Linked DNA regions of Arabidopsis thaliana. The protein of the gene in region 1 interacts with the protein of each later gene in a pairwise test. Each region holds a gene or a part of one and is shown in the gene's direction. Other genes may lie near its edges. The genes, in order: AT1G49850, HAP8, AT1G01440 and AT5G19960.

What was found.
Region 2: the proteins of AT1G49850 (region 1) and HAP8 interact in a two-hybrid assay, tested with the Arabidopsis thaliana proteins (one large-scale study listed by BioGRID).
Region 3: the proteins of AT1G49850 (region 1) and AT1G01440 interact in a two-hybrid assay, tested with the Arabidopsis thaliana proteins (one large-scale study listed by BioGRID).
Region 4: the proteins of AT1G49850 (region 1) and AT5G19960 interact in a two-hybrid assay, tested with the Arabidopsis thaliana proteins (one large-scale study listed by BioGRID).

The regions. Positions count from the first base shown.
Region 1 is NC_003070.9:18,452,574-18,459,007, reverse strand, and holds AT1G49850 (RING/U-box superfamily protein), read left to right. Parts: upstream 1-2,388; 5' UTR 2,389-2,563; coding exon 2,564-2,776; intron 2,777-2,865; coding exon 2,866-3,059; intron 3,060-3,336; coding exon 3,337-3,682; 3' UTR 3,683-4,164; downstream 4,165-6,434. Other genes in the region: GSTF14 (glutathione S-transferase (class phi) 14), read right to left, coding at 1-42, 143-298; AT1G49840 (glutamyl-tRNA (Gln) amidotransferase subunit A (DUF620)), read right to left, coding at 4,851-5,480, 5,560-5,904, 6,256-6,434. UniProt on the Arabidopsis thaliana protein: Probable E3 ubiquitin-protein ligase that may possess E3 ubiquitin ligase activity in vitro.
Region 2 is NC_003076.8:22,766,537-22,775,919, reverse strand, and holds HAP8 (hapless 8), read left to right. Parts: upstream 1-2,898; 5' UTR 2,899-3,118; exon of another isoform or gene 3,119-3,318; intron 3,319-3,933; 5' UTR 3,934-4,050; coding exon 4,051-4,178; intron 4,179-4,614; coding exon 4,615-5,587; intron 5,588-5,667; coding exon 5,668-7,002; 3' UTR 7,003-7,467; downstream 7,468-9,383. Other genes in the region: AT5G56260 (Ribonuclease E inhibitor RraA/Dimethylmenaquinone methyltransferase), read left to right, coding at 1-371.
Region 3 is NC_003070.9:158,093-166,223, reverse strand, and holds AT1G01440 (hypothetical protein (DUF3133)), read left to right. Parts: upstream 1-3,270; 5' UTR 3,271-3,737; intron 3,738-3,943; 5' UTR 3,944-4,004; coding exon 4,005-5,656; intron 5,657-5,745; coding exon 5,746-5,806; intron 5,807-5,921; coding exon 5,922-6,145; intron 6,146-6,231; coding exon 6,232-6,289; 3' UTR 6,290-6,596; downstream 6,597-8,131. Other genes in the region: AT1G01450 (Protein kinase superfamily protein), read left to right, coding at 707-2,119; TBL25 (TRICHOME BIREFRINGENCE-LIKE 25), read left to right, coding at 7,688-7,970, 8,112-8,131.
Region 4 is NC_003076.8:6,739,323-6,746,894, forward strand, and holds AT5G19960 (RNA-binding (RRM/RBD/RNP motifs) family protein), read left to right. Parts: upstream 1-4,555; 5' UTR 4,556-4,706; coding exon 4,707-4,817; intron 4,818-5,058; coding exon 5,059-5,157; intron 5,158-5,194; exon of another isoform or gene 5,195-5,249; coding exon 5,250-5,662; intron 5,663-6,009; coding exon 6,010-6,070; intron 6,071-6,140; coding exon 6,141-6,194; intron 6,195-6,292; coding exon 6,293-6,361; intron 6,362-6,436; coding exon 6,437-6,502; intron 6,503-6,583; coding exon 6,584-6,652; intron 6,653-6,739; coding exon 6,740-6,811; 3' UTR 6,812-7,059; downstream 7,060-7,572. Other genes in the region: AT5G19940 (Plastid-lipid associated protein PAP / fibrillin family protein), read left to right, coding at 371-595, 687-810, 884-1,063, 1,149-1,339; AT5G19950 (tudor domain protein (DUF1767)), read right to left, coding at 1,841-1,996, 2,164-2,456, 2,632-2,850, 3,348-3,561, 3,763-3,930, 4,099-4,380.

The DNA.
Region 1 (6,434 bases):
TTTGAGATCTCCATCTTCAAGAACCGGGACTTCACCAAATGGCTGCAAGAAAAGAAGAGAATGATTGTTCATTCAAACACATATGAAGTTAAATAAATTTGGTAGATGCAAACAGTTAAGAGTTAAGTGTGAGAGATTATACGTTGAGAGTAGAGAGAAAAGTTTTGGTTTTGGCTTCACCAGCAAGCCAATCTACGAAGACAAGCTCAAAGTCAAGACCTTTCTCATTGATACAAAAGAGAGCTGCCGAATTACCCCAGATAAAGCCACAGTGGAGCTTCATCTTAGAATCAGCCATGTTGTTTTCTTTGTCTATTTACTAGATTAGTTATATTATTGGGTGATGAGTCCTATTGTGATCTCCGTATTTATAGTTGTGAAAAAGTATATGTAATAATCAATAACCTTTCGGCCTTCTAAGAGTTTTTTTTTTGGGTGTAAATGTTAAATGCCTTCTAAGAGTTGGTCATCGATCGATAAATGATAGTATAGTTTAGATTAAGTATTAAATACCTGTCAGACTCTCTAGAGTTTTAATAAAGGGTGAAACTAAGTCAATAACAACCAGAAATGAGTTAATTAACAAAGTGGCAATAAAAAAACGAATTAAAAGAGGGAAATTTTATCTAGAACCAACTTTTTATACTGCATCTACTAGTACATAGACTATTAGATTTGACATTTGAGTTAAGTAAACTAACTAATCAATAATTGCTCCATTTATAAAATTTTAGTGTTTCATAATTATAATGATCTCCCGCTTTCTTAGGAAACTCAGACAACCTCCAACGGTGATTCTAGATGAGCTCTAGAGAGGTGAGACCATCCTCAACGCCAGTATGCTATGAAAATTTATAAAAGGATAAAAATAATAATATTTTAATTTTACAGTTATATTTTAAATATTTTATATAGATAGACCAATAATAAAGATGAACGTGTCTTTGGGTTTGTGATATCGTCTCTTAGCTAAGAGTTTTTGGAATTTCTCATTCTCTCTCTTTTTTTAACTTTTAATTATTTTTATTTTTTTAATTGTTAAGAATTCTATTAAACAACTATCGTTAACGGTGGTCTGAAGCCCTTAGAAAAAAGCCAACATTTAAAGAAAAAATGTGATGAAGTGGATGGAACTCACTTTAGCTAAGAACATTTTTTGTTTGGAAAGAGGCCCATACCTATCATGTTTCATAGGTTCGGTAATGTGAGGAAAGAACATTAATTTTTTTTCCCGTGTATTTTTTTTCTCTTTTCTCTCGTAAAATCCGATGATGATTACGAATCGATCATCATCAACCGTCATCTAGATCATTAAGTAGAAGAAAACCAAAGAAGCTCGTCTCTTATCCGCCGTGATCATCATCATCTACACCGACGGTGCTCACATCTGCGAATTCGATGAACTAAATCGGAGAGTTTGTTTAACCAAATCGGAAATTTATGTGAAACTATGCTCCAATCGTTTGATAAAGGGTGAAAGCAACTAAATAACAACTAATAAATGAGTTAATTAACAAAGTGGCAATAAAAAAACAAAATTAAAAGAGGAAAATTTTATCTAGAACCAACTTGTATACTGCAACTAGTACATTAACAATTAGATTTGAGTTAAGCAACTAACTAATCAATAGTTTCTCCATTTATTCATTTTTTTTCGGGAAAAATGTTGTTTAATACACCAACTTTCAAAAAGTGGCCATTTAAACCATGAACTCCATATATGGCCAAATAAAACTTAGTAAAAGCGTTGACCGACCATTTTATACATCTCAAAACGTTGACCAGGCCAAAAATCCTGCGACGTTAGCAGTCGTTAACAGAGTCGATAACAGGCGTTAGCAGGCGTTAATTAATCCGTTTAAACACAAAAATCTTCAAACGAACAAAAATGGAGAGGCTTTTGAAGATTTTTGAATTTGGGAATTTTAGGGCATGAGAATTGGAATTGGGGATTTTAGGGATTGAGAATCGAATTGGGAATTTTGTTGGTTTCGATTAAACACAAAACGACGTCGTTTGTGTTTAAACGGATTAATTAACGTCTGCTAACGCCTATTATCGACTCTATTAACGACTGCTAACGTCGCAGGGTTTTTGGCCGGATCAATGTTTTGGAATATATAAAATGGCCGATCAACGCTTTTACTAAGTTTTATTTGGCCATATATGGAGTTCATAGTTTAAATGGCCACTTTTTGAAAGTTGGTATATTAAACAACATTTTTTCCCTTTTTTTCCGTCAATTTCTCCATTTATTCAGTTTAGTGTTTCATAATGCTCTCCCCGTTTTCTTGGGACCTATGTATTAGTGGACTTTACTTGGATAGGCCCAATAATTGGGCTTTTCCCCTTAGTTTTTTATTACAGCGACACCGTTTTTAAAGATGTTTTGTCTTAGCTCCGACAGCAAGTGGGAGATGACGTCACCTTTTCACTGCAGTTTCCCTTTACTTTTTCCTCGCAATTTTCTCTCTTCTCTCTCTCTGTCCTCCTTATCTCATCGTCTCTGACTCGCTGCACTTAGTTTCAGATCATATAAACGAATTTGGTGATTGATCGGTGCATGACGAGCGCATCGGAACTCTTCTCTACACGAAGATCACGTCCGGGTCGATCCGACCCGGCTTTAGAATCCGACACTTCTTCCTATCGACACCACTCACACCATCATCATCGCCGTCACGGCGTCCATCATCATAATCAGCGTCATGATTCCGACGGCTGTGATCCTCTCCGGCGACCCACTCCCCGTCTCCGACGCTTCTTTCACCATCCGGTTAGTTACTTTCCACCAAATTAGTAATTACTAATTTCAGTAGTTGTCTGAATTTGGTCCTTTTTACTAAAATCTCCCCTAATTTACAGATTCAGGAACGTAGTAGACCTATTCGTGATGTTCAAGGCACTAGTCAGTATTTAAATACGGATAGTACTGATACTGAAACTCAGAGTAGCAGCTTTGTTAACCTAAATGGATCCGAGAGGCTTCCTGGAGCTGTTCTGCTTGCAAGGGATAGACTTTTCGAAAGATTGAGAGGTGTTTCTTTGTCTAGTAACAGGTCTGTGCTTAACCCACTGATAAATTTTACAGCTTTACTTGATCTGCACTCTAGTCTGATTTTAGATTTCTTTAAAAATAATTGCTTTTGTCTGATCAAGATTCTTTGAAGCATGTTTTGATTTTGCTCTTGTTTCTTGTGAGGATTGGTCAAGACTTAGTGTAAAAATCAGTTTTTGTGGATTATTGTTGCTTTGTGTATTCTTTAATATCTTCTTTGAAGCCTCTTTTTCAAAATTTGGTTACGGATTTGTTTCAACTTTGTTTTTCTGATTCAGTCGAAGCAACAGAGTTTCATTGGATGATCAAAGGGAGTCTTCATTTCATTCTATAGATGGAGATCCAATTTTTCAACTAGCAGGGCTTCAAGTGACCTATGAATGCAACAAGAAACCACAAGGTCTTACTCAAGATGCTATTAACTGTTTACACCGGCAAACTTTTAGCTCAGCCGAGGTTAAATCCGAGATGAGAGATTGTAGCATATGTTTAGAGAGTTTCACTAAAGGTGACATGCTAATATCCTTACCCTGTACCCATAGTTTCCATTCTTCTTGCTTAAACCCTTGGCTTAGAGCTTGTGGAGATTGTCCTTGTTGCCGTAGAGCCATAGCAAAGGAATAGAAACTTGTAAATAGAATCTTTGCCTAACCATTAGGCCATAGCCATACACATCTTCTCTTCTTCTTGCTATAGACATCCTTAAAACGATCTTCTGAGTTTTGTCGCCCATGAGTGTTTTTTTTACTGTCACATGTTTGTAATGGTTTTTGTTGTGCCATTAGGCAGTTCAAGCGTTGATATCGTATGGTGTGAATCTTTTTAGTTTTATTCACTGTGATCTCTCTTTTAATGTCTTGTTGGTTATATGAAAGAGACTTTTTCCAAATCCAAATCTTGATCCGACAATTTGGTTATGCTTTGAGGTTATAGCTCAACAACTTAACGTTTTCATTTTCAGAAATTTTGATTGTCTCAATCTGGTGATACTACTTTAAAGCTTTGCTTCCTCTTCCAAAACGTTGTCATTATCATACATCCATGTACGTTACATATATTGAAGTCTAATATCAAAAGATTCAATCAATTTATAACAACTTTAAAAGAAAGTTATGCCAAAAAAAAGAGAACTTTAAAACAAAGTTAAGGCTAAAAGGAGAAGACAGTTGTGCACAAAAAGCTATTTTTTGCTACAAAAGCATATCAAAATGGACCCCTTTCTTCATAAATTCATGATCATCATCTTCAATTCCTTTCATAAAATCCCATTTATTTGCTCCTAACCATCACTTTCTCTATTGGGTACCTAACACACCTCACTCTCTAACCACTAAAATTAACAATACATACATTAAGAATGTCCTGCCTTTCTTTTTCTATCACATCAATTTCATGTCTTCGACAACATTAAAACCTATATGATTCAAATTCAACCAACTTAAAACGGTTTAGTTCAGTTTAAAATCAACGAAAGCTGAAGAAGATAAGAGAGCTTCACTTGCTAACAATTAACTTTCCATAGATTGAAATTTTGACTTGCTAGAAAAATATGAGACAAATTCAACATTTAAGCAGCAATTCTCCTTCTCTTGCTGCAAATAAATCCCATCACCTTACTCAATAATATTGAAGGCGACAAAGAAAATAAGAGAAATGAAACTTAAATAAACCAATCGTGTAATCAAACTCCTAATATTTGAGCTGTTAAACAAAGGGGTTAGTTAGTCTCATTTCAAGGCTCGAGTCTTGTTATTAGGATTACTATGCACAGATTGCATCTTCCCTACCATACTCAGACATCAATATGCCAAACAGGATCATTGTCGAAGCTTCCTTTCTCCAAGGCTGCAACTTTAGCTCTATGAGCTGTTGTTGAAGCCAACGCTAGTGAGCTCTTCCCTTTCTCCTCTTGACCCGAGTACTCGCAGGCTTCAGTTAACGAACCAGACCGAAGATCAGCGGGTGGGATAAAGCAATCTAGAGACAGACCAGGAACATTGAAAGCGACTTCTTCAATGGTCCATCTTTCCTCCATCTTTGTCCTAGTGTGGCTCATAGCAACTTCCCCAAATCTGAAGAGGGTAACAACAGAGCGTCCAGAGTGAGCAATCATGATCCCTTCCACCTGTTTGTAGTCGTCTAGAGACGAATTGATCGTGGTCTCCCAGTAAACAGCATCACCATCGTTAGATTGGATTCGAGTCAACTGCGAATCCTCAATTTGAGCTAGAAGTCCTGTTCTTTGGCTGAAGTAACCGAAAAGGATGTGTCTTACAATCTCTGCTGGTCCTTCACTCCTCGCCCTTAGCGTTTCAGGATCAGTACATAGCTTCAAAATGAAACAATCTTCACCATTCACCTTCCTCTCTCCAACACATTTCGATTCAGCAAACATAGTAGCAGTAGTTCTCGGATCAAGTCCCTGAAACATCATTTAACATAACAGAATCAGCATTGGATTGATTTCAAAACCATGTAAGTTTTAGTGTTTGGGGATTAACCTGAAGTGCACGACGAAGAGGCCTGACGGGTCCTTTAGCAGTGTGAGAACCAAGCCAAGGAGTATGTCGCCAAACAAGCTTCCCATTACAGCCAGCACGAACTTTACTACCACCAACAGAGAGCTCAACGTACCACATATCAGGATTCATCTGCCAGAGAACAAACCCACCAGTTTCCGACTTTGTAGAGTTTCGGTTTCTAACAGTTCCTGTAGGAGTTTCAAGCTCTGAAGTTATCATCTTTAACTTACCCATAGCATAAGCGTTCTTAATGGCGTTATGTAACTTGTGGCCACCACAAGCCGCCGTGTACTGTTGCAAAATGTACTGTGCAGATGATGTTTCCTGCAAACAACATATCACCAGAGAGAAACAAAATTTACACAATAATAGAAACAAAAATCGAATTTTGTTTGAGTAACTAATCTCTGAGTATTACATGAATCAAACCCCCACCAGATAATGACAATATTCCACCAACCAATCCATAAATCATCCAAAAATAAGATTTTTAACTAAAAACCAAAAAAGGAAAAAAAAATCATAAACAAGAAATTAAATCGAAAATGTGGAGCAGAGAGATCTGGAATCATAAATTTACGATTTTTATCGGATTAAAAACATAAAGTTTGTGTTTTTACTTCCCAAAACCCTAAAAATTTAGAAATGTAACAATGAGAATAATCAGAGACTAACAGTGGGAGAGTCTCTGATGGTGAGATGAAGAAGATGACTGGAGGAAGAGACGTTAATGGGAGCGAGAGGAGCTCCCATAACACCGAGAAGAAGTCTCAAATCAGACTTCCGATAAGCCGGCGTAGTTGAAGTCACGGACGGAGCACGTGACCACTGACCTTTGACCCAATGACTTAAAC
Region 2 (9,383 bases), on another chromosome or scaffold:
CTCTCAAGGTCTTTGAAGACAATGTCCTCGTCAGAAACCAACTAGAAACGAAAGGAGAAGGCGGAGTCTTAGTTATAGACGGTGGTGGAAGCATGAGATGCGCGCTTGTTGGAGGAAACCTCGGACAGTTAGCTCAGAACAACGGGTGGTCGGGGATTGTTGTGAATGGATGCGTTAGAGATGTGGATGAGATCAATGACTGCGATGTTGGGGTCAGGGCATTGGGATCTAACCCGTTGAAATCTACTAAGAAAGGTCATGGTGAGAAGAATGTGCCGGTTCATATTGGAGGAACTTTGATTAGAGATGGAGAGTGGCTATATGCTGATAGTGATGGTATCTTGATCTCCAAGACCGAACTCTCTGTTTGAGTCAGAACGTTTCCGTGATAGTGCTAAGAGACTACAGCTTCTTGGAGCAAGGTGGTTTATTCGAATTCTTAAGAATCTGTTTAATACTCCAAATAATCATTTTTATTACAATATACTTACGTTTTATGAAATTACAAAATAAAAGTCTATTTAGTTCAACAAGTTTGGATCATGTGATATGTATAAGAAACTTTCATTGAATTGAAAGAGATCAATAAGTCAAAACATGTGTATCAGTGAATACATTATACAACAAGGATATAATTTCTAAAGATGTTATTTTCGTCTTCCAGCATTGTAATGATTCTTGTACGAATGGATTTTAGTTATTTTGAAATTTAATTGATAGACATGTATAAATTATAATTGTATACACAAGAGCGTACTATTTTACTTGAATTTGAATACAAAATTCTGCTATGAGGTTTGAAACTTGAAAGAATACATATCGTGGTGGACCAATTACTACTTTTATGGAATTGAAACAAATGAATGAATACTATTTCAAAATTTGACCAAAAAAATAAAAACACCATTTCAAACTAAAACAAAATTCATACCGAACCAAACAAAACAAGATCAGATTTACTTGTCACGTTAATTTCGGTTCACTCATTTTTCTCGACCAACACACTTCGAAATCGTACGGAAAAATCGGTGCTCCCCGTTAATAAAAAAAAATAAACGGTGTTTCCCAAGAATAATAAAAAGAATAAAAACATATATATTATTCAATGCTAGAGAAACTATATTATTAATATGTTCCGTCACATTAATAAATAAAAGCATCATAAAAAGTTAGACAGACCACACCATCACCATGTTCATGCCATTGATAATTTGACGTATATGTGGACATTTCATGTTTTCTCTTTAACACTCCTTTGTTTTTATACATAGGATCTACAATAAGTCTATTATTTCTAGCATATTTTGTATCTATCGAATCTTCTCAATCAAAAGTTAAATTATATGTTGAAATATGTCTTTGATCACATATTGATGTTGTAAAATAATTTGGATGATATGACACTCTAGACTAAAATAAGTAAATTCTAGACCATACAAATCTATAATTGATTCCAATTAGACACGAATATATTATACCACGACCACTTGTTTCTCAATCTAATTTGATGGAACTTATTAATCAAAAGCTAAAAACGGCTGCTCTTTAGATTTATCATTGCGATTAAGAAGCTATAATTTGTTTTTCTTGTTTTGGTGTCTTGCTTGAATCCATTACTTATCAATTTGTCATTCATTACTTCACCAAAAAAAAAAAAAAAGAATAGTGTCGTGTAGCGAAGGAATTATGGGACCTCCAATAAGTCCATAGGGCATGGAATATGACTTAACGAGGAAAATGATGTTTGACTAAAACCATAATTTCACGTTTCCACAAAATGGCACTATCCTCTCTTATTTAATTCTATGATTTTTCTTAATTTCTCTTAATAAGGTGATGATTTAACGATAATTCTGGCTGTTGATACATTCGTTTTAAAAAGATCAAAATATGAGATATCTCATGGTTTATACTTTATAGAACTTGTAATTTTGAGAAAAAGTGGTTATGAGTGCCTACATAATTCTATATGCACTAACATATACATGACCAACTTTTTCAAACAATTGGATCCTTTTTTTCGTAAACATTTGGCTTGCTCTCAAAAACAGTCAAGACATCATGTTCTTATTTATTTTCACCTTTAAAAAGGACAATAAAAACCATTGATTCTGAATCAAAATCACTTTCTTTCATTTCCATGATTCCAAATTCTTCGACCATTTATTCTATGACTTTAAACGTTGGAAATTTTTCCGGCCGATGCCTTCATATCTCATCTCAAAGATATCATGGTCATTGGTTTGTTCCACGCATGTTATATGCTCCACCTTAATATTCTCCGAGAAGATCTTATATCGCCTAAGGTCATAGATTCATCTATCTATTATTCCATAGCCATATCACAGAAGAAACAATCTTAATTAAGGTCATATAATAGAACCGAACGATCATTTGTTCACAAACCGTCTCGATCGTTCTTATGGAAACTTCCCATAATTTGATAAACTTTTCAAAAGACTTTATCCCAAAACTAAAGTGAGTCAACCCTCATTTAAGTCAAGATTTCATTTGCTTTTCATTAATGGTCGAATCATCCATAGGAAAAAAAAAAGCATTTCTAGCCCCTCCACAATTCATATCTTTGGGTTTCGAAGAATACAAAAATTTATACTAATTAACAAGAACATACATAAATTCTTAATTATTTTTTATAACTAAAGTTTCTTACCTTACCATAAATTAAAAATTCGAAACATGATTACATTTTGTATAAACAATGATAGAAAGTAGAAACCACTTCTTAAAAAACACGATACAAAAAGTTAGCAGCAGCCTCTACTTGTCTCGTTCAGTTCAAAGCCCAAAATTTAAATAAAGTTAGCAGCATTAAAAAAATGGTTTGAAAAATGAAAACAACTATTTAGGAATTCACACAGCTCACTTACAGACATACGAAAGGAACAGCGACGAGGAAAAAAAAAAAAAAATTCATTTAAACATTTCTTTACTTTAAGTTTATTTTATAAGTAAACAGTATGTTTATTTAATACTTAGGGAACCTGATACCACTTTGATGTGTTAGTGCGTGGTTCTTGTTCATCTCTCTCTCCCTCTAACAAAAATCTTTTCTTCTGCCAAGAAAAACTATTTCTGAAAATAATCAAATCCTCTAAAGGTTTCTGTCTATTTACTGATATAATTTTTATCTGAAACTTTTATTTTAGCAACTCTCTTCTTCTTCTCTCTTCGTCGTCTTCCTACTTCTTTGTTTTTTCTTTCTTTGTATTGTCTCACCGATTTACAGTTTCTTGTTCTTACTTTACTTTGAATCTTTATTAAGTTTCAAAGATCCAAACTTATACTCTTCAAAAATAGGTATGCTTATTATAAGTATATATCTTTAATCCTCTGTAAGTTTTTGATATTTTATGATCCATTTCTTCTGTTCATAACATTATAAAAAAGGGTTTTGTTTCTTGGATTCCTAATATTGTCTTCTCAGATTTGTTGTTAAATCTCATGTTCCAGTTGGTTCATCCATAAGTAGAGATTATAGTTTTTCTTAAGGGTTAGATTATCTTCTTTCAATGTGTTCATTTTTTTTTTAGAAAAAAAAATAAATCTCAATGAACTTTGGTTTAAATCTCACCAAATGTATGTTCTTTTACCTTCTGTGTCTTGATCTATTAGTTTCTTATTGTGATGTCTTTGAGTTTCATATGATTCCTTGCATAAAATAACACTCCAATCAGATTAGAAACTGATGCTTGTTTTTAGGGGAAAAACTTTGAAGAATTAAAAACCAACTCTTTTGATTGTTCCTATTTGTGATTTGCTTCACCAATCAAACCCATATACTTGAAAATCTCACCCACTAATCCTAATTTTATTCTCTGTTTTTTTTCTAACCTTCACATGAAATAATATTTTTTTACTTGATCTTCTCAAGTTTCTGGGTTTTAAAGACTTAAACTTTAAACTCTTTTTCAGGTTTCATAGGCTCTCAGATTTGGTATTATAAAGATCTGGTGTTATGCAGAAGAGCAGGGACGACAAGGTTGATAAAAGTGAAGAAGTGAATAGTAGTAACAGTGGAAGAAGAATCAAATGTTCTTATCATCCACTGATCAAAGAAGCCCTTCTAATAACAATCCATCATCTTCTTCTAGTTTCTTACATCTGACCAACTCTTGTGATGAGTTAGGTCAATCACATCTTTCAACTTTCTCCATCAGGTAATCTTAAAGTTTCTTCTTCTCCGATTTTGTTGGGGGTTTTATGGAGAAGAAGTCAACAGTTTCTTGTTCTTCACCATTGTTTTAGGAGGCTTAAAGTCTTTAGCTTTCTTGTTAGGTTTGATTACTGATACATCTTTTCTTCTCATCCATTCATTTTTGCTAAATGGGTCAGATTCAAAACAAAATGCTTTTTATTTTTATTTTTCTTTCACCTTCTGTGATTATGTGGAGCTTAATGGTATTGAGTTTTGACTATTCTTTGATCCGTTGGTCCATGATCTGAACGAGTCTCAGTATCATCAAAGAACAAACTTTTCTTTGTTGTGTCATGTCTCTCAGAAGTTTTTTTTTTTATAAAAGCCTGTACCTATGTTTTGTCTGGTTGTTGTACTACTAATGGTTGATGATTTGGTTTTTGTGATGTTTTTTGCAGAGATTATGCATTTAGTTACCGGACCAAGAACATCAAGAAAAGTTGGCCTTTTTCCTCAACAAGTTTGCAACTTTGTTTAAATCATGGCTTAACTGATCCATTGCCACCGATTCAGCCTCCTGAAGTGAAGAAGCCAAACATAACTCATGTGGAAGCGGTAAGTCACAAGAGAAAGTCAGAGAAACTTGGCTCTTATCAGATATTAGTAGAGACTACTAAACAAGGATTTGAGAATGGTTTGTTGGCGAGTGGTTCGAAATCCAAAATACAAGTAGCTATGGTTAACAAGAATCCTAGAAAAAAGTGTGGGTTGATAGTGAAACCTGGAGCTTGTGTGGATAGTGGTGGAAAAGAAGATCATAGTAGCCTCTTTTCAGCTTCTGATTCTATGGCTTTGAGAACTTGTCCCATCTGCAAAACCTTCTCGTCTGCTTCTAACACTACTTTAAATGCGCACATTGATCAGTGTCTGTCTGTTGACTCGGGGCAGCAGCCGATTCGTAAGCCAAACAGGCCTAAGACTAAGCCACGGTTGAAAGTTAAAACCATGACTGATATCTATGCTTCTGCGAAAGAAGGCACATTAGAAGATCTTGATAAAAGAAATGGCACAAAGTGGGCTATGATTTCGAGCTACTCTAACCGTGTTGTCTCTGATGATAAGCCTGAAGTGTCCAACAAAGTAAAGAAGCGAAGCGTGTCGCGTGCTCGCATTGATGAAGATGCTGCTGGCATTGGACCTGTTTACATTGATGCTAAGGGCCAAAAACTGCGGATTTTATCTAAGTTTAACGAGAAAGCTTCTGATCCATCAAGAAGAGAGCATGAAGAAGTTTGTGAGAAGAAATCTTCTAGTGAAGGTAAAGGGGGCAAAAGCTTTAGGAAAAAACTTTGGGGAGAGAAACATTACAAGCATCGTAAACTAGTTCCTCAAAACAGAAAACTCACTGTTCGTAAAAGCAATGCTTCAGAGGTAATTATGCCTTTGCATGATCCGTTCTTGATTTGGTTGTTAGATTAGTAACACAAGTTTCTTTATCATTTTTGTAACAGATACCGGAGTATCGAAGAGGATATTCTAAAGAAGGTAAAGACTTTGAGAGGTCAGAAACTTCAGGTCCTGGTCAAGGTAGAATATTCAACCAGCGGATGCTAACAAAGCGTTCTCTTTCAAGGCATGGAAAGAAGAATGGGACAGACATTTGTGAATCTGAGAATTGGAATTCATTGTCAGAAGATCCTCTTGTGTTAAGAAGTCCAAGTCATGTGAGTACTGATTTGTCCGAGACAGTTTCTTCTCCTTTAAACAGTATAGGGTCATGGAGAGTTTGTGGGGAGAGCCAAGTTTCTGGAAAGAGCTGGGCTTTGTCTAGGAACAGAAGCATTGAAAGTGATTTATTTGTAGCAAATCCCTTGAGATGTTTAACACCTGTGGCGAGAGGCGTCATGAAGTTCAAGAAAGCTCGAATGGATTTCTCTGAGAATGAAGATGAAGATATAGGGAAATGGGAGTCTGAAATGACTCAAGAACGTGAACTGTCAGATTATGATGGTTGGGATGATGATGATGGAGAAACAGATAAGGTTGCGCTAAGCTCAAATCCTTCGTTTAGCGGGGAAGACAATGATTATGAAAGCTATGAAGAGACTGGTGATAACAAAGGAGGTGATGATATGTTGGACAAAACTAAAGATGCAGATGTTGAGTTTGAAAGCATGGTTTATGAGAAAACTGGTTGCGAAACCGCGGAACAAGAAAGCTCGTTCATGGAGGTTGATCCCATTCCTATTCCAGGACCTCCGGGATCATTTTTACCAAGTCCTTGGGATATGATGGGAACTGATGCAGTTGAACATCATGGAAACTCTTCAGTTATCACAAGCCAAGTCCACTCTTCACAAGATCAGTTTGATCTCACTGACAGAAATTCATCGGAATCACCTGTTTCAGCAATTTCAAACTTTGCAGCTCCTGAAACACAGACATTAAGTCTTCATAACATCATCACCACTGACAAGAGACCTTCCAGATTCAGAGACAATGATCAATCATGTTGTTGCCAAAGAAAGGAGAAAGCTCTTGAAGATACAACATTTTGTCAACCACCACCACCACAAATGATCCAACAAGATTTGGATTTCCTGAGTAAGTCTGTGCCTGCGGTTCCTTCAACTCCCAACCCGGTGTTGCGGCTGATGGGAAAGGATTTGATGGTTATTAACCAAAGAGAAGAGCCTTCACACAACGAATCAAGTCCAAAACCAACCTCTCAGTTTCTAGATCTTTCTAAGACACAGCAAGCGTCTCCTTCTGTTAATCTTCTTCATCCTCCTTACAGCGGAAATGGTTATTTCGACACCAATACAAGCTTCTACAACATCCCATGAAAGTTCAGACCAAGAACTCTACTTCTCTCCAAGATACTAAATAATATTCCATGGCATTTCAGATCAAAGTCCAGGCATTTTCCTTAAGCTTGAGATCTTGAGAAGCTAGACACCTCAAGATCTCATGTTTCTCTATAATAAAGAGGTTGAGAATCTCAAAAAGGCTGCTTTAGAAAGACAATGGTGAGACTGAGATAAATTCTCTCCTCATAGGATGATATATATGAGAACTCCACTAAGGTAAAAGGACCCCCACTTTTGTTTTAAGTTTTAAGGATGAAAACTTATAATTATAATGTTATGAAAGCGAATTTAAAATAAATTATATAAGAGTTAACATCATGATGCTTAATTCTCTCTATTTAGATATAAATATTTGTATGGTTGAAATCATATGATGTAGTCAAGATCATAGTCACCGTCATGACATACATTATTATGTATACGCAATTCATTATCTTTTTTTTCCTCACTCATTCCTTATTTTAGATTGCAAACATATAGACTTTATTATACACATTGATATTGAGCGTAAACAATGTCAAAATTAGATGGACAAGGATTTTATACAAAACAACAAAAAAAGAAATAGTTGCATTTGGTGTAGATGAGCTGTTTTATTATTGTTACAAGAAAATTTAAATAAAAATAGGGAGAATATTTTAGTGAAAATAATGAAATATATTTGCGTAGAGATGAGTACAAGCACAACGGCTATGTTGCATGCGCATTTTCAAAATCATTTGCTTATTATCATATGCTTCTCTCACTCCATGTCTTCTTTTGTTTTACATGTTAGTTGATACACATTTCTGTATAATATATAGACACACTTACGATTATATACATAGATATGTATGTATATTATTATTTGTCGCCGGTCCATAAAAAGTTTTATAAGCAAATATTTGCAAACTATACTATTAATGATTCATGCATTGGTAATTCAATTAGTTAGAAGAATGTTACTCCGATGATGTTATAGATCCAAATTCAAATGCTGTTTATAGAGAGATTATTCGAAAAAGCTTTATGGATAATACGTAGCTTGGTTCGTAAGTCGTAGCTTATAGTTTTGTTGCAAGATTTGAAATTTTGAGCACTACTCTCTTGGTGTAGAATAAATGGTCACGTATCCATCCACAACAATTTCAGTTTATACTATTAGTTTTTGAGAGAGAGACTCCTGCATCAAAAAGGCAATATTGGTCCTAAAATTCAACAATTTTTATTTTTGAAATTGCCACTAACTCCAAAATAATTACAACTTGTGAGAACATTTGACCGTTTGGAAAAAGTTATTATCATGAAAGAAAGAATTTTGAGAATTTTTATATGATAAAACGACTAGTTGAAAAGTTGAAAGACACTAATATTTAAAAGCTTTTTTTTTTAATTTTGGGTCAACATTGAAAAGTGATATTGACGAAAAAAACTTTGATATTTAGTTTGATGGCCAATTTTTTCCTTATCACATAATTGCATATCTGAACTTGACAATTCTCATTTTAACAAAATATATCAAATTTTTGTATATTAATATAAATTAGGCGCCGACAAAATAATAATGAATATTAGGTTGTCATCTAACTTCTTCTAATTGAGAGAAAATTTTAGTCGACGTAAGCAATAAATATATTAGTTTGAAAAAAAAGAATAATGAAACGTATTTTAAACAATATAACAAGAAATTCATAAGATGTGGTCTTCTAATTAAATAATAATTAAGAAGAACTAACAATATAATTTAACATTAAACCAAAAAAAAGGAACTAACAATATACCTACCTCATTGCAACTGTGTCAAGGGCCGACTCATGAATCATGATACATGATTTAGTTGTTAAACTTTTATCCTTTTCGTAATAATGCCACACAAGTCATATTAATGTATCACTAGGTTCATCCAAAATTTATAAAATTTAGTTGAAATATAAACTCTTTTTTTTATGTATGCTATGTTAAGATGTGGATTCATTGTACAACTTGTATCCTTTCCGTAAACAGTAATGTAGTTTAACTACCTATATATATATATATATATAGTTGAAAAAATAATACTAAGTGATAAGAAACCACATTATACAAACAAATCAATTAATACTGGCATACGACTCTCAACATACACTTTGAACTATACTATATCAAAAAAAGAATATAGAGTTATTGGAATGCGTTGGCCAAAAAAACAGAAGAAAAAAGAGAAAATCGGAATGCATGTTATTATTTTTTAGAATTTATGTTGATAGTATTATTTAAAGCGGGGCCCACTTAGAGGGTTATTTTATTTTGGCGTGAACATCGTAACATTAAACAAGAAACTAAATGTTGGTTTTGGTCCTCCATTACGCAATATAAAAATTAAATCGTTGGTCTAATCA
Region 3 (8,131 bases), about 18 Mb from region 1:
CCATTCCTGTGATACGATTTCTTATGAGTACAATAATTTATAATACAAATTCCGAAGGCCTTGTGTACAATTGAAGAGGTGTGAAATGGATCAATTTCGAGAGATAGGAGAGGTATTAGGAAGCATAAGAGCGTTAATGGTGTTCAAGGACAGCATTCAAATCAACCAGCGTCAATGCTCTCTATTACTCGACCTCTTCACCGCAGCCTACGAGTCAATTTCTGTGTCGATGCGATCCAATCTACGCTTCAAAGAGAAGAACACTAAATGGAAGATACTAGAACAGCCCTTAAGGGAGCTTCTATGGGTGGTTAGAGAAGGAGAGGCTTATGTTAGAATGTCTTTAGAGCCTAAACTTGGGTTTTGGGCTAAGGCTATTGTGTTGCATAGCAATAGAGATTGCACAGAGCTTCACATACATAACTTGCTCTCTTGTCTACCGATCATCGTCGAGGCTATTGAGACAGCGAGTGAGGTTTCAGGGTGGGATGAAGAAGAGATGAGCAAGAAGAGGTTGGTGCATTCTAACAAGTATATGAAGCAATGGAATGACTCTCAGATGTTTACCTGGAAGTTTGGGAGAGAGTATTTGGTGACCGAGGATTTCTGCAACCGGTTCGAGAGTGCTTGGACAGAGGACCGTTGGATTCTGATCAAGGAGCTTCAGGAGAAAAAGCAGTCCGGTTCGAGCAAACATGAACGGAAGATGGCTGATTTCCTTTTGAAGCATTTGGGAGATGGAAATGAGAGCCCCAAGCTATTTCCTTCTTCTCTTCTGGATAACACAAAAGATTACCAAGTGAAAAAAAGATTAGGGAATGGAAGTCAGTACAAGGAGATTACCTGGTTAGGCGAGAGCTTTGCGCTTAGGCATTTCTTTGGGGATATTGATGCTTTGCTTCCTCAGATTACTCCATTGCTATCTCTTTCACACCCAAACATTGTATATTACCTCTGCGGATTCACGGATGAGGAGAAGAAAGAGTGTTTCTTGGTCATGGAACTGATGAGGAAAACCCTTGGAATGCACATCAAAGAGGTATGTGGTCCTAGGAAGAAGAACACTCTCTCCCTCCCGGTCGCGGTTGATCTGATGCTTCAGATAGCTTTGGGTATGGAATATCTTCACTCGAAGAGAATATACCACGGAGAGTTGAATCCATCAAACATTCTTGTCAAACCAAGAAGTAACCAATCCGGAGATGGGTATCTGCTTGGGAAGATTTTTGGGTTCGGGTTGAATTCTGTCAAGGGATTCTCTAGTAAAAGTGCTTCTTTGACGAGTCAGAATGAGAATTTTCCATTCATATGGTATTCTCCAGAAGTTCTAGAGGAGCAAGAACAGAGTGGAACTGCAGGAAGCCTTAAGTATAGTGATAAATCTGACGTGTATAGCTTTGGGATGGTTAGCTTTGAGCTTCTGACAGGTAAAGTACCATTTGAAGATAGCCACCTGCAAGGAGATAAGATGAGTAGAAACATTAGGGCCGGGGAGAGACCGCTTTTTCCATTTAATTCACCAAAGTTCATAACAAACCTGACAAAACGATGCTGGCATGCTGATCCCAATCAGCGTCCAACTTTCTCATCGATAAGCAGAATTCTCCGGTATATCAAACGGTTTCTAGCTTTGAACCCGGAATGTTACAGTAGTAGCCAACAAGACCCGTCCATTGCGCCTACTGTGGATTACTGCGAGATCGAGACAAAGCTATTGCAGAAGCTTTCTTGGGAATCTACAGAGCTAACCAAAGTTTCACAGGTTCCTTTTCAAATGTTTGCATATAGGGTTGTGGAACGGGCAAAAACGTGTGAAAAGGATAATCTCCGGGAACCATCGGAATCAGGAAGTGAATGGGCTTCGTGTAGCGAGGATGAGGGTGGGGCAGGATCAGATGAGCAGTTGTCATATGCCAAGGAAAGAAGATTGTCATGCTCCTCAAATGATGTTGGTATGAGCAAGAAGCAGGTTTCAAATCTTCTGAAAAGAGCTTCTAGCCTGAAACCAATTCAAAAACCAGGTGAGATTATCATCAGCCAATATATATATATATATATAGGCTCCCTAACAAATATGAACTTGGTTACTTGTACTAATTTTTTTGTTTTGTGTCACTAGCCTTTGGATTCTGTTCAGGGACAACTCCGAGAGGACGATCAAGGCATCCGCCACTAAGCCCTTGTGGTGGGCAAAGCATGAGAGCAAACTCTGAGAGTCAGCTGATATTGATAAGCCCAAGGATACGACGATCAAACTCTGGACATGCCTCTGACTCTGAGCTTTCCTAGTCTGCAGGGAAAAAGAATAGGTTCATAATAGCAAGTTCAAAATGCTGTACAAGTCAAAAGACATACTAACTCGTATGTGGTGACACACACTCCACTACATATCTATCGAAAACGATAAAATTCTTCTTTATTCAAAGTTTCCTACAGATACTACTAGGCTCGTATATTGTTCAGGCTAGTGACTGATTGATTCAGTAGCTACTAGCTACAATATTATCTTAAAGGAAACAAATCATATGAGGCAAAATTATGTGCCTAGACTGTAGAGGCTCAACGCTGAAGTGAAGTAAACTAGGCCTGCTCCACTATTTCTACAATCTATCAAACACCATCAAATTACACTAATCAAATTTTGGGCTTCGAATGTGGATAAAAACATCAAAAATAAGGAACCTTGACTAATCTGCCTGAAAATTACCTTAACAAAAAAGGGGAACAGCGATTCCGCCGGGGACTAGAGACATGGCGTGGTTCGGAGCTTTGGCTCTGTCTCTCGTCAATTTCAATATCTCCGCCACCGCCGACTCCGTCACATCCATCCTCCGACGCTTTTATTATGTCATTGATTGTGATATGACCAAAAAGTCCCCACTCTAGTTTTAGATGAATGAAGCTATGATTTCTTTTTTTTTTTTGGTGATAAGTACGTTATTATGATTTTAATACCAACAGATTTGTCAAATATAACATTATAAGCAAGTGGAGTAAACAAACTAAGCAGCTGATTTGTACAAAAAATACTTTACAGCTATAACATTTGTCATTGTCACCCTAATATAAAATACAATTCCAACAACTAAAATACATCTCTAAACTTTTTAAAGATGATGATGATGAAAAGAATTCAAGTTATGAGCACGTCTGGGAACATGGCACACCATCTATTTTGACAAGATAATATTATACAATACATGTATAAAATACGTACACATTCATCGTTATAAACTAAACCCACCATGGCCATGATGAATAGTGTGTGTAGTTCAAGGTATTGTTGGTTTTGGAGCAGCGAGACACAAATATATCAAAGACCTAATTTGGTACTTTAACTTTCACCTTTCAAATGCAGTTAAATTCGAATCGATCCAACCAATTCATTAGTTACTACTATTTTTATTTTGTTGCATTATTTTTGGTCGTCACGTTATCTCTTGGTCAACTTGACCTGGTAAGACTCATAGTTTCTAGATATGTCAAAATTCTTAAACTCCATTGTCGATCTAATTGTTCCTAGTTGGTAGATTCCCGGGAAAACGAAGCAAGAAAAGTAGAGCTATTGTTCGAAGTCTTTTGATTATTTAAATAAATTCCTCTGAAATTTTCACAAAACTCCTTTAATATTAAAAAATGGCTGCGTCAAAGAGACTAAAAGCTTGATTCTCACCGGAGACGAAGAAATTGCCCAAAAAATATTCATAATACTGACGCCGGAATCACTCTTCTTCGAGGTGCGTTTGATTTTCCTATATCTCTCTGTCTTGTCTTTCCCGTTTTGGATGCTGTGCAATCATGGAAACTCTTGAACTAGTCTCTAGGAAAATTTTAAGATTTGCTCTACCATGTTACTATTCGCGGATTGGAGAAGATTCGATTAGAGAATTTGTTGATAATTTCGGATTTTGTTTGAATTCAAGGATTATTATTTCTGTTGCAGTTTAAACAAGCAAAACCCTAGAAGCTGGTCTTCGTCGGAGAATTTTTGTTTTTTTTTTCCGATGAGGACAAGCGGTGACGTTTATGGAGCAGATACTGGTTCCTCAAGAAGTGATGAAGACAGAGGCTTTAAGGAGGATCTCAATGAATCCGCTACTAGCCCGATGAGAAATCGCCTAGACGATTCGAATTCACGACCTGGTTCTCAGAGATTCGTCAAGAGCTCGAGAAAGGAGGAAGAGACTGATTCAGATTCTTCTTCTTCTAAGAACACAACCACCAGAAACAACCCAATTCAGTACACTGATAAACAACAAGCCGAGCTTTTGAGAAAGCTTGATTCTATTAAAGATCATCTTCTCCGTGGTGGAGGTAATAATGCTACTGTTGTTGATCAGCCACCAATGGGTTTCCATGCCCATCATGGACCTCCTCCTTCTTATTACAATCCATACCCTGAGCCATTTCCTTATGGAATGTATCCTACCGCGAGTAACCAACCTCATGTTCCAGCTTATAGAGACCCTTATGGATTCCCAGTGCATAGGATACCTCAAAACTTTTATCAAGGACCAAGTCATTACCCTAATCAGATGCCGCCTCGTCCACCCTATCCTCAAGGACAGTATGTAGACATTGGCTCTGATATACTTGAGTCACAGTTACAGGACCCTAGATTCTTTCCGGGTACGCCAAGTAGGTATGGTGATGTCCCATTTAGCCCGGCTTTGCACCACGGTGAGAAAGTTGGACCCTTTAGTCCACATGGTGGTGTTCACACGAGGTGGCCTAGTGAAATTGATTCTGAAATGGGTGGTGCTTTTGCTCGTGGGTATGTTCAACAAGCTGTGTCTGATACTGATTCACGTCGTTGCCATCCTCTAGCAGGCGGTGCGCCTTTTATTGCTTGTCACAGTTGCTTTGAGCTGCTATATGTGCCTAAGAAGAAGCTTCTTGGTCAGGAAAGGCAACAAAAGATGCAATGTGGTGCTTGTTCTGAGGTTATCACGTTCAGAGTTGTTGATAAGAAGCTTGTTTTCTCATCTTCTGCCCTGGGGGAAACTACGAACCGGGTTTCTGTAGAGGTTGAAGATAGAAGCTCACCAATCCCTGTGGTAGATGATTATCCACTCAATGATGAAGAACCAAGAATACACCAGGAAACGAAAATTGTCCATGCTGTATCGCCTAGTGATCACTCAAACGATGAAGACAGGTCAAGCATTTCTAGTGAGCCGCGGAAACAGGTCGTCAAGTCTGTTCGCAGCAGAGCCCAAGGCGCGAAGGTTCCTCCTCCTCCTCCTCCGGAAAAGTCCAATCTTCTTGAGCTCTTTGAGTATTCTAATGTAAACCGAGCTGCAATCACTTACGGAATGGCGCAGTTAGGGTACTATAAGCAAGAATCATACACGAAACAAGACTCCCTGAAATCAGAATCAGTAGCTACTGAGACAGATGTTTCTTATAATGAGTACTATACTAACACCGAGGAGTCTGAAGATTCAAGGATCTCAAAAGCCAGCAAAGAAGGGAGACGACCAAGAAACCGAAAGCAGAGTAGTGAGCACAGTTTCGCAGAGGTCACAAATAATATCAGTTCTAACGACCAAAACAACGAGCAGCTAGAGGTTTGGGTGAATGGGTATCTGATACCAGAAGATCTGGTTATTAGCGCTGAGAAACAAGCTGGGCCAGTTCAAGCTGGCAAATACTGGTATGTTTGGGGTTACGTTTTGATAAATCTACGTCAAAAGAATTGATCAGTCGTTCAAGAAACCATCTTTATGTTATGATTCTGACCAGGTATGATTACCGTGCTGGATTCTGGGGAGTGATGGGAAACCCTTGTCTCGGTATAATACCAGTAAGAACTTTCACATCTCTTCTATATTGCTTTGAATTCCAGTACACTGTTTCATAATTCTTTGTATTGATTGGTACTTGATGAGGAAATGGGAAACAATTGTTGGTTGATGCAGCCATTTATAGAGGAGTTTAGTCGACCAATGCCGGATAACTGCGGTGCAGGAAACACGAGTGTGTTTGTAAACGGAAGAGAGCTTCACGAGAGAGACCTAGAGTTACTATCAAGTAGAGGTCTTCCTCGAGGCAAGAACCGTTCTTACATCATTGATATAGCAGGAAGAGTTCTTGATGGAGACTCTGGTGAAGAACTTAAGAGTCTTGGCAGATTAGCTCCAACGTAAGCACAACACAATTCCATGTAATCAAATTTTTACATCAATCATTTAGTTGATTCTGAAATTTTATGGTTGAAAATTGAATCAGGGTTGACAAGGTGAAGCATGGATTTGGCATGAGGGTTCCAAGATCATTAGTCTCGTGAAGCTTCGTCAGCTTTGTTTTGACCTCTCTGATTTGTAAATTATTCTTTGTGATTGATATATAACACATCTTTGCTTATATTCTGACCCAAAACTTATTTGCTATTCTGTTTTTGGGTTTAGTTTCTTTTTTGGGGGTTCTCTTACAATGTTCCATTCTTTCTCTTACTTTTTTTTTTTTTGTCTAAGAGATAAACCGTATGGTTTTATATCTTGTGATCTGGTTTATGTAAATTGATCATTTTTTATTGTGGATAACCTGTTGCCTGTTGGGAAATAAAATAATATTTGTTTGATTTTGTGACAAAAGATAAATGTATATATTTATAGATCTGTCCAGGCTGTGTGTACTTGTTAAATCGTTTTCAAGAAAGAAAACACACTGGTATGGTAGATCCAAAATCAACTTCAAGTAAGATGGGTCCACGTAGCAAATATTTAAAGCCCATGGAATAATTTATTCACAATGGGCCTCGTGGTCGTGGTGTACCCTACTCCATATAAAAAAACAGAGTCGATAATCTAGTCTGTCTAAAACGACTAATTCATGTCTAAAGATTAGTTTATGTTTTAAATCACCGAGAACTAATTCTACCGTCTAGATAGAACGATTTTTTTTTTTTCTCTAGATAGAACGTTTAAAACAAAATTAGCATGAAAATTACCACGGTTATCAGAAGACAAAATATATTTTTTCGTCTAATTAGATGTGTAAAGCATAAACTAGATACTAATTTATATACTCACAAGTAGTTTTAGTTACAAGTTTCAACCATTAAATCTAAGTGCGAGGTCTCTGTCTTTAGTTGAAAAAAGAGAGAGAGAACAAGTCTCTATCTTTGCTCCTGATAAGTGATAATTAATCAATAAATACTGTAGGACCATCCTTATCGAGTTTCGTTTGATAGACACTACAAATACAAACTAATCACCTAATTTCCATAAATGTAGAGATTACTGTAATCCTGTCTACGTTGGAAATAATTAATGGTACCATGTCACCCGTAATAGCAATGGCTTAATCATGTTTAAAGAGACAACAAGTACACGATTCGCGCTTTACAGTTGTATAATTGTAACTTTAAAAACAATTATGGATGCCTAATCATTAGATTATTTTCTTCTTCTGAATATCTCTCCACAAATTAAATGAAGCCACGACCGACATAAACAAAGTGGAAACAATTACAGTAATTCAAACACATGCAAACAAAAAAACTCGAGTTAATTATTACTAACATGTTTTAGTACTTCTGAGAAAAAAAGAAAAAAACAGGATCCGCTGTGTCTTTTTTATAATGATGAAGTTCCTCGCTTTCAACGCCAACCAAAAACCTCCAGAAAGCTAATTAGGGAAACATTTGAAAAAACTCAGTGATCTGCTCTTCTCTCTAATTGCAATGGATTCATTGAGATTAATATCTAAGAGCATCAAGATTGAAGGAACCCCATTTGGTTCCTCTCACCAACGCAATCAAATTTTCCTCAAATCCGTCGCTTTCTTCCTTTTGATCGGTCTCGCTTACCGTTTTCTCATCACTAATTCCACCGTCTCTCCGGTTCCCACCGTTCGATCCTCGCCGGAATCTCTCCCGCCGGATCCTTCAGGTCTCACTGCCATCACTCAAACTTCAGCCTCTGTCGATTCCCCAGCAAACATCACAACCATTGCTTCACAGAATGGTAAGAGATCATCTTTTTCCGATCATCACTACTTTAGTCTCAAATTCAATAGAGTAAGACCCAAGCAACGTGAGGAAATTGGGTTTTGAGAAGAAATTCTTATTTTGGATTTGTGCTCACCAAGTGTTTGAACAATTGTAGTTTCAACCAAGTGTGATATC
Region 4 (7,572 bases), on another chromosome or scaffold:
AGTTCAGCGTCGGGGAGAGGGTAGTTGACCCCAACGTCTTCACTGATTTGATGTATTTCAAGTGTTGGTTACATGTTAGTTACGCAGGCTCGGACCTGGTCTCAAAACATGGGCCTCAAATGGGCTGACCCAATAGATTTGCTAAAACAAATATTAATCTAATCTAGACCATGTAGTCGTGGGCCATTTATTAGATTTGCGGAATGGGACAGACGAGATAACGCGGGAGAGAATCCAATCACCGATTGAGCTATGGGCCCCAGTATCGATTTCTACTATGACGTGGCACCACTTAAATCACAATATCCGTATTCCCTCTCTCTCTCCCTTTCTATCTGAGCTTCTCTCTCTTACTCTCTCCAGAGCAACAATGGCTGCGACTGCTTCTTCTCTTACAATCGCGTCGTCATTCTCCGAACCACGGACTCAGATCCATTCCTCGAGACGTTTGAATCTCCCTCTTCAATATTCAATCCCGTACAAGGTGTTACGGAGTAGGAGTAGAAGATTAGGACTCGTCGTCAGTTCTGTTTCAGCTCCCAACGTTGAGCTCCGTACTGGACCTGATGATCTCATTTCTACCCTCCTCTCTAAGGTTGTGTAACGATTTCTGATTTGTATACACCGATCTTGAGGATCTGACTTAGTTTGGCGCATTTATTTGAAAGTTTGTGAATTGTGAATAGGTTGCGAATAGTGATGGAGGTGTGACGCTAAGCCCTGAGCAGCACAAGGAGGTGGCACAAGTGGCCGGAGAGCTTCAAAAGTACTGTGTCAAGGAGCCTGTCAAAAATCCTCTCATTTTTGGAGGTAAAAGTGTAAGAACCTAGCTGCCATTGCTTCTTCCTTGGATCAATATGTGAACTTGTGGGATTTGGTGCAGATTGGGAAGTGGTGTACTGTTCTAGACCAACCTCTCCTGGTGGAGGCTACAGAAGCGTGATAGGCCGTCTCTTCTTCAAAACGAAAGAGATGATACAAGCCATCGATGCTCCTGATATCGTTAGGAACAAAGTTTCCATTAATGCTTTTGGTTTTCTAGACGGAGACGTCTCCTTGACAGGTGACTATTGCAAAATTCACATATGCATTCAGTCTCATCTTCTCCCGTGTTTAATCTTCTCACCTTTGTGTGATCTTATCTGTAGGGAAGCTGAAAGCGTTGGACAGTGAGTGGGTGCAGGTGATATTTGAGCCTCCGGAAATCAAGGTTGGATCTTTGGAGTTCAAATACGGGTTCGAAAGCGAAGTGAAGCTTCGGATCACATACGTTGATGAGAAACTTAGGTTGGGATTGGGATCTAAAGGATCATTGTTCGTCTTTAGAAGGCGTCAATAATATATACGTTTCTCCCTCGTGCATCAACCAATGCAAATCACTACAGAAAAAAAGGAAACAACATATGGGGTCCTGCGAGAGTATGATGGTCAATATCCACAATGCTGTGTACACAAATGGTGTTTTAGATATAACTTTGTTGTAATGTAAACTTCATTTTAAGAGTGTCTCACTTCAGATGAGTTGTTGAGGAAGCTACTGGTGAACTTCAACATCTTTTCGCAAAGAATTACTATAGCAACAAAGAAAGATAAATGACTTAGCAGCCTTTATGTTCAAATTCAAAACCTCTCACGAAAATCTGAAATTCTGAATCACCCTAAAACAAACATGTACAGATTCAGCGCTGCCACACCTGTGAGAACCAAAGCATACATGAGTAATAATGCTCTAAAATATGTAATAAGATACATGTTTACTCTAAAACATACATAAAGATATACAGATGTAAATGATGAAGTTTTGTTTAATTACCACAAGCCTGGATGATTTCATTACAATCTACACACGTCCTCTTCCCCGTCTATGTCCTCGCCCTCTACCCCTTCCTCTTCCTCCTCCTCTTCCCCTTCCATGGCCGAAGTTATCTTCTGTTCTTCCGTAATCAAACATATTCATTCTGATATCCGCTGCCCCGGCTCCAGGCATCTCCTGCCCCTATACAGAAAATTACAATAACAAAGCTCTTATTGTAACCATTTCTGTATGGATGATCCCAAAACACAAGTAATAAGCCATTGAAAGACAGATAAAAAGTGTGCTAATCAAAATAATGAGCATATGGAAGACGGGTCATAGGGATAATAAAGGTTGTTGTGACTCACATAAGAGTCTTCCAGATCAAACTGATTCTGAAGCTGCCATGCAAGATCTTCATCGCGGGTAGTGTCGCTTGGATGGTTAGCTGTTGGAAGAGCCCCCCCACCAGTATTCCTCTTTTCCCACTCATCTAGTGTAAATACTGCAGAGTCTTCTTCTTCTCTCCCCCTCCCTCTACCTCTACCTCTACCCCTACCTCTTCTTCCTTGGTATTGCCTATCATTTGAACTAGAATGTTTCATCTTCTCAAGAAGTATCTGCGCAGCCGCTTGGTTCTGTAAAGGAACAGCTTCCACCACTGCAACATGGGAGATGTTATTTGGCGTATAGGGATGAACGATAGATATCTGATATCTCATCTAAGGTTTCAACGCAATTGCCAGATGAAAATGCCAAACTAATTTAACGCTCCTTAATGTTCTTTGCTGTACAATGAGCTTTTGAGACGATGAGGGAAAAAGATGATGGCAAACCTTGTTTAGGTCGTGTATCGGAACTGCTTCGCTTTTCCTGATTTTCAACTTCGACAGATATTTTCGGATCAGAATCTGCAGGATTCCTCTGTATATTCTTATTTGTGCCTCTTTTGTTCCCATCAACTTCACTACTTTCACCTTTTTCTCCACCGGCATGTTTTACAGAGCTTTCTGCAGCAATAGGTACATTGTTTCTAGAAGTCGTCTTGTTGTAATCTGTCAACCAACAAACATATGCTGACAAGTTAAATTTTTGATGCATTGGCCAAACTTCCATCACAATACTTTATGTAAGCCCACACAAAGGAAGAACAATTCAATAGATCATAAATTTTACCACAATGAAAATGCATTCACTCAAGTTTAAGTATTGAAACAATGGAGACCCAACAGCGCCAATGTTGGACACAAAGCCAAGGGAAAACATAGATCAGACCTCTACATGAGTCGTCATAGGTTACATAAACGGATATATTGGGATTTTGGAGCTCGGGTCAAATTACTAATATGTTTATGCTAAAGTGCATTTGGATGGAATAAGTCCTTGCTGCAGTCAATGCATATTTATGTACACTATCAACATGAAATAGAAAATGGTAGATATTTTATTTGGTAGCAAAGATTGGCCAACCGTTTCAAAGTGAACTAAATATGCAACAAATTACTAGAAGAAAACTGAATGAAAATGATGAGAATAAGAAAATCCTGCTTACCGCGGTGATGGGAACCTGTTCGAATCTTCAACTCCTCAAATGGAGGAGGGCCATCACCAGCTTTGCTTTCCTGAGATCGAGCCAAACTAGCGTATTTTTTCTTCATCTGCCATTCTTCAGTGAGTGATTGCACATAACCGCCCAAGACAGTCACCTCTTTTGGAGTCAAACATACTAGACCATCACGTATCACAGCCTTATTTTCTAGACGTACCTGCCAACGAGACAGTACAAAATATCAACAATACAAAATGATTTATGATTTGCATATGACACCCTCTGATGCATGACAAACACATATGTGCACTAGCTTTCTATTGATTTAGATCTTAATCCAAACTATTATATTTGCATGAGACTTTCAGAAACATAGTAAAGGAGAATTTGAATTAGATTGATATGGAAATGGAACTACCTTAGTACCAGGAGTGACATCATTGTTAATCGTTGGTATATGAGAGTACTCAAGCGCGGATATTTCGGTCTTCCCGTCAGTCAGAGCGAATTTTAGCACTCGTTTACCAGTGGAACTTCCCACAAATTCCTCTGCGCTACTTCTTGTAACATCCCTAACATAACTTATCTATGCTCACAAAAGAAAACAAATTAACACTCAACAGCTTGAATCAACTGCAACAATTGAGCATTCTGAAACTAGTTTAAATCTAAGTATATCAGTGAGAGTGACTCATTGAATTAGCGAAGACCTAATGCCAATTGTTACTGACTTTAGCTGATTGAAGCAATGTACCTGGAGAACTTTGGGGCCTTGAAGATGAGAACACCTGCGTAACTCGGTCGGGTCCGGGAGGGATTTACCTCCGATTAACTTAATATCCATGTTAAGCAGCTCCGCCTCCACTGACTCCACGATGGCGCCTGTTTTATTGCCGCCGCCGATCAAGGAAGAGATTTCAGTGACCAGGGATTTCAAGTATTCGACGTCTCTGAAGCACCAGCCCCGACTAGTTAGGGCATTTATCACGACGGTGTGGGTGTGGTCGCCGGCGGAGGAGCTTGATGTTCCCACCATTGCGTTGATGCTCTTGTCGCGCTAAACCAATTGGGGAAGACGAGATTTTAATTTGGAGAATTGATTTTGTTATGGTCAATATCGAGTTAAACTAATTACTATTCACTAATGATACTTTTTGCATAAAATCGTTTTGATCAATAAAGAAGAACATTTTTAACAGAAAAACTAGAAAAGTAATTCGAAAAAGTCCTATAAAAAAGGTATTTTCCGGTTTCGTTTTAGTGGGCCTAATGGCCCATATGTAACACGAAGATTTCTGACAGTACGACTTCTAAAGTACTTTGCTTTCCTTGTTGAATTCCGACCAAAGTCGATAAAGAGTTATGACGATGGACGATGGTAACTCCGTCTACGTCGGCGGCCTCCCTTACGACATCACCGAGGAGGCTGTCCGTCGCGTCTTCTCCATTTACGGCTCCGTCCTCACCGTTAAGGTTAATTTTCTCTTTTCAATATCCTGATTTAAGTTTCTTAATTAGGATGATTCAAATTCGTTTCGTGATTTTGAAGTTCCAATCTTATTGTATGATCTTATAGATGATAAGCTTTAGTAGATATCTATGTAGAAAGACTGACCAAGTGATTTAGATAACATCCAATTGCTAGTTGATATATCTTACATGTGAGCTGGTCAGAGTGTATATTGACATATATGTGTACTATTTGAGAATTCAGATTGTCAATGACCGGAGTGTAAGAGGGAAATGCTATGGCTTTGTTACATTTTCGAACCGTCGATCGGCTGATGATGCTATCGAAGATATGGATGGAAAAGTATGGTTCTACTGCTAAAGTTTTGTTCTTTTGTTTATATTATCATGTACGTGGTGTGTTTATATTGTTGACGGTATTGAGCTCGTAATCAGAGTATTGGTGGGCGTGCAGTGCGTGTGAATGATGTGACAACAAGAGGTGGAAGAATGAATCCAGGTCCGGGGCGGTTACAACCACACGGTGGTTGGGATAGAAGTCCTGATAGGAGAAGTGATGGTAATTATGAGAGGGATCGGTATAGTGATAGGTCTCGAGAACGGGATAGGTCTCAGGATAGGAGAAAAGATCATCGCTACATAGAGAAGGAAAGAGCTTATGAGCATTCACATGATTTTGAGAGGAGGAATGATCATGATATGGTAGATAGAAATGGTTATAAGGAAAGAGTTTTCGATGGTGATGAAGGAGATTGGCGTGGGGATAGGTCTTATGTGGATAATGGTAGGGGAATAAATGGGACCAGTGCTCACGAAGGAAGGAGCCAAGAAACAAAGAGAGAAGATAGGTAAACTTTTGTTGAAAACAATGCAGTTGTAGACTTCACATTGGATTTCAAACTTTTAGTGTTCCTCCTGTTTCTTTGAATTGTGACATTCGTTGTTCTTGTAAAATTGGTCTGCTAGTTTGAATGAGTCAAAGACTGGGATGCTAGTCTTAGTCACGCCGCTAAACCAAATCATCCACACCTGTTGTGGTTAAGTTTGATAAATTATCATCGATTTTAGTGTAATGGATTTGAGGAAGTTTCTTGCTCTTGTTGGCTTTGTGCATGTTACCGTTTGAGGAATGTTTTGGCTTGCTTTGGTTTTGTTAACATGTCTAAATCTTTGTGTGTTCTTGTTGGATTGACAGTACCATTCTTGATGGTGGACGTGGCAGAGATCACTTCTCTAATTCAAGTGGAGATCATCAGGTAAAGATGATTTTCTTAGCCATGCAGTGTTTGCATAAATTCATTTTATAACTTGCAACTTCTATTACAGGTGAAAGAAGATCTGGAAGCGCTGATTAAGATGCGTGAGGCGCTTCGAGATGAGGTATGAGGTAGTTTATCTGTGCATATAGGCTGTTGGTAGATTTATTTTACATAATCACGAGTGATCCAATGAATTTATGGGCTACTTTCATTTTTAAGGTGATGGTGATGGAAGAGAGACTGGAAGTAAAAGAAGTAGTGTGCTCAGAGCTACAGAAGAAATCTAAGGTATGTGTCTTCTATATCTTACAACCCCAAAATGTTTGACTACAGATTTGTTCTCATTTGAAATGGTTAAGACAGAGATTAGAAGATTTGTTGATCAATGAAAAGAAACTGGTTTCACAACGCCGAAAAGAATTGGCAAAGGTAAGCATAGGTTCGATTCCTGTTCTAAAAGTCGGTTTTGTTAGGTAATGTTTGTTGACATTTGGTCTATGTTTGTGGTAGCTACATAAATCATATTCAAGGGTTAGAGAGTGCACGGACAACCTGAAAGACTGTGAACAAGAACTCCAGGTTAGTTTCTAAATTTTCTTATTCTAGTGATTGTCATTGCATAAAGATTAGGCCTAATCGAAACAAGTGTCTATTCTTTTCTCGCAGTTGCTTGTTAATTCAGCAGCTAGAGAAGGCGTGGCAGGTGCTGATGAAGGATTGGGACACGGGTATCCGTAACACGGTCACCCGCATGTATGATCTGTTTTGTCTAAAGTGTAGCTTTGATATGTCTTCTCTTTGTGACTTTCCGAGTTTTTTTCTAGTCGAGCTACACTAATTTGGTACATATTTACTTGTTTTGGCAAGTATGTATTCATTTCATTCGGGATGTATTATTATCATACGAACATGAACTAAATAATTATGTTTTCAACTTGCAACTGAAACCAAACAATCACCATACAAAGTGTGGAAGTAAAGTCTCAAAGCTTTGTTAGAGAAGAAGTCCTAGATAGTACTTGGCTATAGTTAAAATATTTTAGTAGATGAAGTTGACAAATTAACTATTTCTTTTTGTAATGTTTGCTTTGTTCTTTACTAATATAAAGATACTTGGCTACAGTGAAAATGTTATAAAAAGAGAGAAAAGAATAGACAGTTAAATTATTAAGGTTGACACAACCATCATCTCCACCGTCCATTACTCGTCAGCCGAATGTTTTTTATTTGATTAAGATGTGAACATCATCCATTGACCTATCGTTGCTTGTAAAGCCAAGTTAGCCAACCAACACTCAAATCATCATTATACGTGACGATCTTAAGAACAACCCCATTTAGGATACTCTATATGTTTGTCTTCTCATATAAATTTCATTATAGTAATATTAAGGCATTATCCATTATTCATATATATTCTTCAAGGCATGTTTCGTACATCTTATAGCAAACCAGTAGCAGTAAATAGCATAAGCAAATGTGTTCTTCTTGTCGCATGG